2 linked regions of the Arabidopsis thaliana genome follow. The protein of the gene in region 2 interacts with the protein of the main gene of each other region in a biochemical or structural test. Each region holds a gene or a part of one and is shown on either strand. Other genes may lie near its edges.

Region 1 (4,018 bases), on a different chromosome or scaffold from region 2:
ACCATGTGTCTATACCGCCATGAGATCAACAGAGGCTTAGATTGTCATGGTCGTTCTGGGTAAGCTATTCTACATACATATATAGATGTATATATATTCTCGAGTCTTTGTTTGTTTGTGTGTTTCATGTATTTTTCTTCACCGCAGGTTAGAAAACCCATTTGTACTCGAGGTGCTTGCAAGAGCTTGTAACACGGGCCCTTTGAAACCACCAGAGGATCAAAGTATTAAAACTCTTTACATCCGTAGACTTATTAACTCCAGTGTCCTCGAGCAGGACATCCGAGACCATTTCTGCCCCTATGGTGAAATCGAATCTATTGTTATCTTCCCCCACCGAGGAGGAGGCACCTGTGCCTTCCTCACTTACACTACCCGTCTAGCTGCTGAGAAGGCCATGCTTGAGCTCTCCTCCTGGACTGACATCAAAGGCCAGAGGGTTAAACTCTTGTGGGGACCTACTGAAAAATGGCAGCACAAAATGACTGGTGCTGCCATTTCTTCAACCCAAGAGGTTGGTTCTTCTAGCTCCAATACTGCTGACTTGGTAACTAAATTAGTACATTCTCTAGAAAAGCTTTAATTAAACCTTTTTGTACCATTAAAAAAGATAAATGTTATTAAACAAGTTTTATATGTCCTTTTTCCTTTTAGAGTACACCACAGAGAATAGAAAATACACACATTCCACCAGTTAACAATTTACAACAACCCCAAAGGCAAACGTGATAAAACAAATAAAAGAAAACAACGCAAACGTTTAAAATTCAAGGTTGAGAAAGGAACGTCGCGTCTGCGTTCTGGTCGCTGCAGTAGAGACAAGGGTGTTGATGAAACCCTAGTCTCTCAAGCACATCCCTTGCCATCATCACTAGTTGCTTGTTCTTCATGGCACCTTCATTTTCGTTCAACACCCTTTGAATCGCGTTGCTAAACGCTCCGTACGCTTTCCCGTTCCCAACGCCGACGTCAGCAGACGTCTCATCCGCCTGACACCCGCTCATCAATATCCCTGAGTCCACGTGTTTTTCACGGGCCGTCATAGTCTCCAAAAGATCCATTAGATCCATTGCCGGTAACCGAAACTTAAGACCAGCATCGCGGCCAAAGAGCTCAAGTAGATGTGTGCCGATGTCGGAAGTTGTAATTCCGGTGAGAGAACTCAAGTGGTCAAGGACTGCCTTGAAGGGCAAGGCACGTGATGTTATAGTCTTGTTCGTTGTCTCAATAGCCGGAGATATGTTGCTGGAGACCGAAGAGGGTCCGATCTGTTCTTTCTCCTTGTCGATGAGACCACCACTATGGCAAGAATCAGAGATCATGGTAAAGCTTGTTCCTTTAGGAAGTTGATTGACCAATTCTCGGAAATCAACATCTGTGATGAGATTGAAATCACAAGGAACAATAGCTTCGTCTTGTTTAAAAGGATGAGCAGATTTAACCGAAGGAATACGAGTTCCATGGCCACTGTAGTGGAAGAACAAGATGTCTCCAGATCCGGCTTGAGCTTTATCCACCATCCTACGTAGAGCAGCCTTGATGTTGGCACCTGTCGGCTTTACCTTTGATTCTGGCTCGTCCGTTAGCACCTCAATGTCGTCTTGTTTGAATCCGAAACGTGACAAAATAGTTTCTTTCATGGCTAGAACATCATTGATGCAACCGTGAAGCTCGTTCCTTGTGTTAGGGTAGTTGCAGCCGACGAGAACGGCTAGTCTTTTCTTGACCATCCCTTGTTGATCCATTGAGTTTCTGGATATGATTTCTTAAGGTTTAAGAGGTAATTTAAACAACTTTCTAGGCAAAATGTTTTGGGGTTTCTTGTGTACGTGTGTTTAGTTTTCATGTGCAGTGTTGTGGTTTTGGAGCTAATGTGTATTTATGATTGAGGTTTCGTGTAGTGAAGTTCAAGTTACATACGATATTAGTATTTATATTTTCAAGTCTAGTTTGCTTTTAAGCTATGGAACATTTTTTAATGGCTTACTCTTGACTTATTAATGCTTTCAAGCAAGAAACTAAACCTTAAATCAGACTTTTGAGAAAGACATAATTAATCCTAAGTCATGGATTCATGATTAATTTGGTTAACTTGGATATATACGTAACTTCAAAAGGGAAGTCATTTTCCCAAATATTTAGACCTAATCCATCTAGCTATCTAAGGGAAGAGAGGAGCTAATTAACTTTAAATGCTATGATATACGAATGTATATAACGTATACATTGTTGAAAATAATGTCAATTGACCAAACTATAATTTGCCTTAATCCTAAAGGACCGTCTATATACTTCGTGCACGCAACGGAAAAGTCTTTTTGAGACGAACCATTTATGCTATTAGCACCATCTTCACTTCACCTACGAGCCTAACTCTTGACTTCATATTTACAAGTTATATCCCCAAAAAAGAAATCAAACTTTCAATGGTAAACTCTTTAACAAAATAAAAAGCATTCAAATTAAAAGATAAAGCTTTTAGTAAACGAAAGACTAATCAGAAATTAAACGTCTTCATCAACTGAGAATTTTTCTTTTTGGTTTTATGTGATAAAAACACATGCTGGATTATGTTTTTAACAAATAAACAAAACTAAATCGATGACCAATACTACAGTCTGTTTATTGCATAAAGTTGTTTATATTCCTATGCATGCATTTATTATCTCTTGGGTAACGGCTTGGAATCATCTCCCAAGTTCCCAACTCGTGATAGATTAAGGAATTGGGGCATGAATATTCTTGAAATTTTTGTCTCCTCTGTAATGCACCTGAATCCAAGAACCACTTGTTTTCTGAATGTACCTACAACAAAGACACATGGGGCATCTTCTTTTGCTCAATTCAGCCCGCCTACAATCTTTGAAGATTGATGTTTCCATGGGACCTCAAAGAAGTAGTGGATGAGGTTTCTAAAGAAAGAAATCGTATAACCAAGTGTTTTGTGGTCCATTGGTTTGTTCGAGTGGATAGAGGATTCGCTATGTGGGTCAAGGCTACGAATCTATTTCTTGACTATAGACGCCTTAAATACAACATACAAGTATTGAGGATTAGTTTGGGTTTCACTCCGGGATTTACTCCGGTTATTACAAAAAAATGTGATCAATATTGTGATAAATACAGGACACATTGATTTTGTTTACTTCACAAACCATAATCTTCATTAATCATTACACAAGTTATATTAACCAAAAAAAAGAAGAAGAAAAAACAGAGCAATTTTACACGAGAAGCATCCAAAACACACCAAGATAACTGGAGAAAACCGGATCTAAACCAAGAACAAAGATTTGGTATCCATCATTGCCTTGGTCTACTCGTCACGCTTAGTTTAGAACTGCCATTGTTGCACAACACCTTTCCCGCGACGTCGTTTTGAACACCAACGCTCTTAACCGGTTGCACTAAACGCTTATCGCCGTTAACCATAACCGCCTTCTCACAATGACAGTTCAACAAACCGGTTCTCTTCTTATCGTAACCACTAAATGCTGTAGACGATGACGACAAGGCAATTCTTGAGAAGTTAGCTGCAACGGCCGAGGCCGGCTCGGCGGTCATAACGCTCCAAGTAACACTTGCTTCGCTTGGCTCGTAACCGTACTCAGACACGGTCTCTTCCATCGAGTCCCGTACTGGTGGAGCCCATGGACGAGCTGCGGTTTGAGTAGAGAAGCTCTCTATCTCAAAAAGATCGGAGCTTGCGTCGCTTGTGGCTTCTTCGTCTATGATGACTCCCTTGGGACTCGTAGGATTCAGAACCGGTTTAATCGGAAGCAGAGCCGGTTCAATTCGTACCGGTTTAATATGATTCAAAACCGGATTCTTGGGATTTTCTGATAATTGTGAAGTTTCGTTTAGAGTTGGGAAGCTAAAATTACTAACTGGAGCTCTAGCTTCTTTGTTTGCAGTGTAATCGATGGACCGAGTCACAGTGTTTGAAGGGATCGTTAATCTTATTGGCTCAGGTGAAGATATCGTCTGATGACTATGAACTATTCGGTTCGAGACGATT
Region 2 (8,249 bases):
CATCGGTCCTGCTTCTCCCACTATGCCTTCCTTGAGAGCTTGATCCATTGCCCTTTCAGTTCCTTCTGGCTCAACTCCCACAAACTCAACATCTTTTCCAAACAATGAAGGTACAGGCGGTGATCTCGGGCTAATCTCACCTTCTGAGGATGAAGAACCGTTTGGGATTCTCACATCAGGCATCTTCACATCATCTGTACTTCCCGGTGCAATGGCTGAAGATGAATCATTACGTTCAACCCATTCAGGTGACAATTCATCTGTACCCACATCTTCATCAATCTCGATATCAGCGTCTACAGAGACTGCTTCTGAGGTTGAGGCTGTGGCTGCAGTTGAGTCAACAAAAGGGTTCTTGCTTTCTGTAATCAAACAGTCTTCGTCTTCGTCTTCTTCATCTCCGCCATCGGAAGTTTCATTCAAGCTTACATCTTCCATTGCTTCCTCGGAAGAAATCGCTCCTGTTCCTGTGTTTTCGCCTAATTCATCTCCTTGGAACGTGAACCAGTTCGAGTTGGTGAATAAATTGCTGCATCAAGAAAAAAACATTTCATTGGTTTTTGGAGCCCTTTGTTCTTTTCTACCTAATACATGGATTTGATAAACTAGCCCTGAAAGCTTACTTCGCTTGTTCATCACCAAGCCTTAGAGATGATATAACAACTTCAGCAGATTCATCATCAAAATAGACATCCTACAGAATATGTTACAGTCAGGTCTGTTGTAGACGATGTTTTCTATAAACGTAGAACATAATATATAACTATAATGAATACCTCTTCATCTCTGTCATTAGAACCATGCTCCTGGAACGAGAAACATGGAATTTAGATTCAGCCAAAATTTTAAGAAATAAATCAGAGAGATTAACAACTACCTCTCCAGCACCATTGTTCTCTTGCATGTTGTATCTGAACTGGTTCAAGTTATTAGCTAAACCAGCAAGATCATAATCCCTATCATGGACTTCGTCATCATCACTGTCCCTAGTCCTATCATGTAATGCAGTCGGGCGTCTGCATGCGATATAAAGTGAATTATCATTAAGAGACAAAATCGGAACTAGATACTGTGCCAACTATTGTCAAACCTGAAAGTGTTTGGACCAAGTTTCCTATTATATTTCTATGCTTTTACTAAGACAACCTAGCAAATATATTCTGAAAGTGTAAATACTCGACTGATAGTTGCATCAATAGTGTGACAAGAAGCCATAAATGTTTGATCAGAGGTGTACCCGCAAACCCAGCGATACACATTCTCAACTGCATTTCGATCATGCAACGTATTAGCTTCCCACTCACCCCAATCGTTATTTTCCTAACAAAGAAAAACAGAACGTATCAGAATGTTGTATGTACCAAACAAAATGCAGCTATACACGTACACAACATTTGACGTAAAACCATGCCTAAATATTAGAAAGAAAATTAGTTAGACATAGGATATTTCATTATGGACACATCTTGATGGGTTCTGTAAAGAGAATACAAAGTAATTTACACTGTTTTTACTCCAACGAGTACATAACAGAGTGATACAATAGAGTAGATATTGACAAACACCAATAATCACAACTCAAATCAATTTATGTAGAAAGATGGTATACTGCAGATAACAGTAAATCTGCAATCATTGTTACAATAAAAGGTTACTGTTACTGAAAAACGAACCTCAAGTAAAGTCTTTATCTGGTTACTGTTAGTTGACAGCTGAACAAGCTTGTTTGAGATTCTTGAGATATGACCAACATTCCCCACCCGTGGAGCCTGCTTTCCAGCAGCAGCTAATGTTGGCTGCATGAAAGCAGAATCAATTATATCTATAACTCAGTACACCTTATCCTTAAGAAAAGTCGAGAAGTGGATATAACAGGCCATTTCTGAATCTGATTTTAAAAACAAAAAGAAGGTATAACGATAACTATAATTGCTTTGCAAACCACAGAATCCAAATCTTGCCTCACAGAACTGATGACAGAAGTAGTTCAACATCATGTCTCACAGAACATGGTAAATTGTGTATTATCTCTCTAGACAAACTTTACTCATAAGCATGCGCAAAACAATTCATACCTGCTTATCACCAGAAAGAATTGGCTGTTTCTCTGTTTTAATAATTTTTCCAATCAAATCACACTCTCGGAGAAGATGGTCAACTATCTCATCGTTCTTGCTTTCTAAACACGATAAAATTATACTCTCCACCTGATGATGCAGAGCATTATTATACGGGTACCTGCATAGTTGGAATGAACAATTGAAAGATGAATTTAGCCAAGCGCGGAATAACAAAGAATTTAAAATTTTGTAATCGATCCAGGGAGTGGAGTGTATTTACTCAAAGAACAGATCAAGGACTCTTCTAATAGCTCCTGAGCTAGCTAGTTCTTTTCCTGTTGCTTCACTTCGAGTTTTCAGCAAGACAGCAATGAACTCCACAATCTAAGCAAGCCATCAGCAACAAAAACGAAATCAGAATAATATTACACAACAGAAAACACACACAAGAGTATATGTGTAGATCCAAGATCCACCTTATAACTAAACCATCTTCCAGTTGACAATAACTAAAATTTCAAAATGAAACCTGACCTTCAGACGATGACTGCCAAGAGGAGGCCTCAACTGCCCATAGGTTGTAGGTAAAATCTTTTCATCAGAGGTCACATTTAAAAGTGCGACAAAGTCACCTGCACCACAGATGAAAGCCAGGTACGAAATTCAAGTCAGTGGTCCAATCACATAAAGAAGTGGAGTCAAATTTTAAATTATATATGTTCAACAAGAATGAAAGCTGAAATATATCCAGCTAGAAAGATCAAATAATATACGCAGAAACTACTATTAAGAAAATGGAATGATGCACGAAATTGCAGCAATACAATAATAAAGTAGAAGATAATCATTGATTTGCAAACATTTATTGACAGTACAGAATCAGACATTAATCAATGTTAGGATGAACCAAAAAGATAGAATCGAATCCTAGCAATCAGTAAAAGAGCTAATACAAGTGTTCTGATGAAAAATATTCAGCAGCAAAAACAAGAATGATATGATCATATGCACTCATGTACAGAACACAATGTGTCATTTTGTTACACTGACCAAGTCTAGGCAGCATGGTGGCAATAGTCTCCGGATTCACAGAAATTGGAGACTCGAAGATTTGTTGTCCCCTGAATGAATACATAAAGGGGGAAGAAACTACAGATCTTCTTGGGCTCAACAATGAAATGCACACCGAAAGTGTGTGGACAAGGCTAGATTTGGACTGAGGATCTTCGAAAGCATGACCAAATATCCTTGCAACAAAACTGCAAACAAAAAGGTCACTGAATCATCATACAATTTAAACATGTTTTAGCATATTTAAGACAATAAGACATCCTACAAACCTTGAACTAGAAAGTTTGGTAGCCAACGGTGACGGTGCATTTTGAGCGATAGTGCACAGTGTTTCAGCAGCATTTGCATGAACTTCAAGAGAGTTCTGATCCAAGCCAAAAATAAAAACAAAACTTTCAGAATATTCATATCTGAACTATTCAAAATTAGAAAATGTAAGTCTTATTGTTTGACCGAAATAATAACCACACATGCAGAGAAGCCTCTCAACACTACATTTACGAATTTGGTAGTAGGGAATCAAAAACCGCATCACGAATAAAACAGAGATGGCAAATGCAGGAGAGTCTCTCCAACTATTCTCTACTAGTCTCTTGTCTTATAAAGGTAAAACAATGTGCTTTTTCGACATGAAGAACCAACAGATCCCAGTTAATAGTAAAACAATAATAACGAGAAGAACAGAAGTGGCTCAAAAAAGCTCATTCTTCCTATATTTCAATCATTTGATGAATAGACGCTTTAACAAATTACTTACTGATGGGCTAAGCTTATCCACAATCATTTCAAGCAGATTGCTATCAGCTAACCATTGCATCACATCTAGGTGGTTAGGATACACATGATCATCCGCACCAACCAACCGGATAAGAACCTATATAAATCACATGCATAAGCTTACAAGTGATTACCAGAATCAAATATAAGGATAAGAGGAGAGAGAAGGTTTACCTCCATAATGGACGTGATCCCTATCAAATCAACCAGTTGCTGGAAAACATTCTGATGGGCCTGTATATGGTATTGTAAAACATTATTTGCTTCTTTTCTATTGACTGCACACCACATAATTCACTGAGTAACAAGTATAAAAAAAAAAAGGTGCACCTCAATAATATGTCAAACTATTCAAGGATTTTCTACCTAAACCACAACGTCATTTATATCGACATAGTATAATTATCATTAACAGTAGGTCGAAGAAAAATTTATTGAGCACAAAAAATTACAAGGACTGGGAACATCCCACTTAATATGCTTTCTGCCACACAAATTTTATTTTCAATCAGAGCTTCGCATGATCGTTGTGCTATTTGCAAGATTTTCAAATGAACATCCAAATAGAGAACTCACTTTTACATAGTTCATCAGCGGGACCGTCTTCCTCAACATGAGGCATATGACAACCTATTCCCAGAAGAGACAAGATACATTGGTGGTAAGTAACAAACATGTGGAGACATAATATCTAAAAAGTAAGAACTAAAATTCTAAAATGAACTATTGAAAGTGACCAATGAAAACATTACCTTGCTGAAATACCCAGCTAGCATTACACTGTGGGAACGGTTGGGTTCCAAAAAGGAGAAAAGTAGGTTCATTAGCTGCAACAAGAAGTATGAACCATTAAGTGAGACCAGAGTAAAAGACACATCTAACTCAAAATAACAAGGTTCTGCATTCATCATAATAAAGGAAGAAGAAAACTAGGACAATACCTCCTCCTCGTCCACTAAAGTCTTGAGAATTACATCAATTTCACAGGTCAAGACTTCAGAGGAGATGAAAGGAAACCTAATAGAAAAATATGCTTTAAAGTTCATGAAAGTTCCCAGAAATATTCCAAAAAATCAGGTCAACTGTACGTCTGGATAAAGCTAATCAGCAAAAGAAAGGAGGCACATACTTGAAAGCGCGCTTGCTGTCTGCATCTTCAGGAGATTCTTCAACAATAAAACGTAATAACTGTTCCACTTGGGCTCTTTCTCTCAGACTGCAAATGAGCATATAAAATAAAAGCATAAAAGGCCAACATTGCAATCCTTGCTACTACTATGAGAAACTAAAACTTGCATAGCATAACAGGGTCATCCTGCAAAGAAAACATGAATCTAACTACTTTTCGTGCAATATCTGCTGGATTGCATATCCTCTTCAATCTTTTTAAGGAATGGTTAATATAGAGAGAAGACACATGTCATAGTACAAACTAAAAAGCATACCAAATCTACACATAAACTACAACAAGGTTAAAAAAAGAGGACGCCTAAAATGAATTACAAATTTATGAGCCGGCTGTTCAAAGCTCTGCATTCTTGGATTATGTCTTCCTCATCCAAAAGTTCTTCCAAAGTGAAATCTTCCTTGTCTAATATGGATTCAACCTGTCAATCGCAAGTAAAAGATAAGGAACTACATCATTCCTATTTAGTTTCTCTCTTCTCTAAACTACACATTACCAGCTTCCAAGAACAATTTCCATCAAAACATCAATTACAAATGAAGTTTATAAGAGATGATTACAAATTCTAGCTCCCGCCACTATATTGAACAATGAAACCACACGAACCAAACATCACCATGACTATGAAACTATTGGAAGACAAAAATCAATGATACACAATAACAGTGGCGTGAAGAAAACAACAAATTCGAAGCAGTAAATAACATCCGAAATCAAATTCAGTATCAGTATCGAAACAATTAACCTCCACACAATTAATTTACAGGCGAAATCAATCAGTTCAATAACAAACGAAATCTAAAACATTTCAGAAATCTTCACTTTGCGTAAGAACAAAGCAGATTCAGAAAGAAACAATCGATTCAGAATAAAACGATACTAAGTACGAATTCATGAGTAGAGAAGACTTTGTATACTCACCGGTGAAGCAGCAGAGAGAGCAGTCAACTTCCAAAACATGGTGAGGATGATGATGAAGAAGAAGAAGAAGAAGAAGAAGACGAGCTAATTAGATCTCTTATCAGAGCGAAACTCAATCACTAAATCTTAGAGCACTCGTCAAAAAAACTCGCCTGGAAAAAAAAAAAAAAACCCTAATTTGATGCTGGTGGTGAAGAAGAAGAGGCACGAAATGAGAAATCACATAATGTTAGAAAGCATCCAAAAAAAAAAAAAAAAAAAAAAACTAATCTCAGCAAATAAATATATTTAAAATAAAACTATATGAAAGAAATATTATTTGTTTTAGAGTATGATGCTTGTGACTACTAGTTGCACGATTGGTTCGTATTTGAGAGAGATACGAGTGATTAGAAGCTTGGTTTAGTTTGGATTAGTGTAAACCGATTTTGAGGTTCTAATGATGTAGTATATTTTCTTGGTTTAAAGTACTCGCTCCTATTTCTTTTTTATCAAAAAGTTCTATATTGCTAACAAGTGTAACATCTTTTATAATCCCTTCAAATTGAAGCAGCCAAACGTGGTTGGGCTTACATATGATCTTTAATAATTATATATAGACTACAACATAAGATAAATAATTTTAACATTACAATTACAAATGTGTCGAAACGAAAAATAAAATCTTCTTTTAGCTTTGATCGATCAATTAGGTAAGTTTGTCCCTCACTCCCTCTTATCATACTTACGAGCCCAAATGTTCTTTCCGTAAATCATAAGCTCTTTTTTCTGCTCGTCATCGAGTACGCGGTCCACGGTAGTAACCGAGTCCAAGACAAGCCTCGCAAATAGTGATTGTTGCTCGCAGCTCCTATTTGCGTTTGCATTGAAAGATCTTTTGTTGTCATGTTGCATGTAAACTCCCTCAACACAATTTTCTCCATACTCCTTGGTAAAGAGCTCAATTATCTCAGCATGAGTCACTGGATAACCACGAGAAAATGTTAAAAACAAGGTCCGATCGTTCTCAGTGGCGATGCAATTAGCGTTCCAGCCCCATAGACCATTTGGGATGAAAAATAAGTTGTTGTTCTTGTTGGAGAAATTATCCCTATCAACTTCATTAGGCATCACATTGATGCTTCCAAAAATCGGATGAGGGAACCCGGGGATTTGAAGAGGTTGGCGAAGTCTTGCGTCAAAGGAAGACATTGAAGAAGGTGGAAGAACTCGTAGAAGGATGTCGGTGAAGATTCTGGTACAAACAGTGGTTAAGAAGTTTTTGATTCCTGTGATAGCACTATATCGATTTTTGTAGATCATTTGGAGTGATATATTCTTTTTCAGATATTTTGTGGTGAGAGGGATTCGGCCAATTGGGGGATTGTTTAAAGAAAGGCACTGAAAGCATGAGACAGCTTCGTAAGCAAGACCGGCAATGAGTGGATCTGTGAGAGTGAGGATGATTGAGAAAATGTTTTCAAAGCCAAAGTCCTCGAGCCAAAGCCATGTGGCCATGACAAGAAGTGACTCAGCTGGAGGCCTTGAGAATTTGAGGACCAATTTAGAGAATATCTCTCTGTCTTGAGCATGGAAAACATGTAGTTCTTGTGCGTTGAGAAGAGACATAATCGAATTTGACTGTAGAAAGTTTGGTGAATGTGAAAGAAATCTAGAAGTTGTTGGAATGCATTTTATTATCTAATCGCCTCGTTTTATACACCTAAAAGCCCGTGTTTTTAGGGGTTTTTGCAAAAAGAACATAAAAAAAGACCCTCCAACTTGTCATTTTTCGCATCTTAACCCTTATCTCCAAAATGTGCAGGTCAATCCCTTTAAGTTAAAAGTAATACGCAATATAACTCGTTCGTTAATAAATACAAGAATTTGATTGTTTTTATCTAAGCACAAACTAGATATTTTATGATTACTTATAAGTAACAGTTAGTTATGAACATCTTTTTAAGTTAGTTTTGTTCACTTACATGTAATGTGGACTATTACATATTCAACTCAGAACTAAAACAAAATTCTTTTCATGTGATGTGAACTATTATATATACAACTCATAACTAAACAAATTTGAGGACAAAAAATATTATTTTCTACTTTAGTTATTAGCATTGAGTTTTAAGGACTAAACCATAAATAAAATAAAATTTAATATATATATATATATATATCATTCTTACTAAAATCTTATATACCATACACCAAAAAAAATTCTTAATTAAGGTGGTCAATAAGATTTTGTC

The links.
Region 1: of the proteins of AT3G45190 (region 2) and MC9, one has a biochemical effect on the other in vitro, tested with the Arabidopsis thaliana proteins (one large-scale study listed by BioGRID).

Annotation. Positions count from the first base shown.
Region 1 is NC_003076.8:1,151,620-1,155,637, reverse strand, and holds MC9 (metacaspase 9), read right to left. Parts: upstream 1,899-4,018; 5' UTR 1,746-1,898; coding exon 768-1,745; 3' UTR 598-767; downstream 1-597. Other genes in the region: AT5G04210 (CCCH-type zinc fingerfamily protein with RNA-binding domain-containing protein), read left to right, coding at 1-59, 148-583; PKS4 (phytochrome kinase substrate 4), read right to left, coding at 3,304-4,018. UniProt on the Arabidopsis thaliana protein: Cysteine protease that cleaves specifically after arginine or lysine residues. Does not cleave caspase-specific substrates. Required for proteolytic processing of GRI.
Region 2 is NC_003074.8:16,542,108-16,550,356, forward strand, and holds the start of AT3G45190 (SIT4 phosphatase-associated family protein), read right to left. Parts: upstream 6,261-8,249; 5' UTR 6,055-6,260; coding exon 6,016-6,054; intron 5,516-6,015; coding exon 5,412-5,515; exon of another isoform or gene 5,154-5,411; coding exon of another isoform or gene 5,125-5,153; coding exon 5,038-5,124; intron 4,926-5,037; coding exon 4,850-4,925; intron 4,736-4,849; coding exon 4,661-4,735; intron 4,539-4,660; coding exon 4,485-4,538; intron 4,143-4,484; coding exon 4,083-4,142; intron 4,006-4,082; coding exon 3,889-4,005; intron 3,496-3,888; coding exon 3,401-3,495; intron 3,320-3,400; coding exon 3,111-3,319; intron 2,693-3,110; coding exon 2,595-2,692; intron 2,445-2,594; coding exon 2,341-2,444; intron 2,239-2,340; coding exon 2,076-2,238; intron 1,797-2,075; coding exon 1,674-1,796; intron 1,321-1,673; coding exon 1,238-1,320; intron 1,017-1,237; coding exon 878-1,016; intron 807-877; coding exon 777-806; intron 695-776; coding exon 624-694; intron 530-623; coding exon 1-529. Other genes in the region: AT3G45200 (uncharacterized protein), read right to left, coding at 6,721-7,623.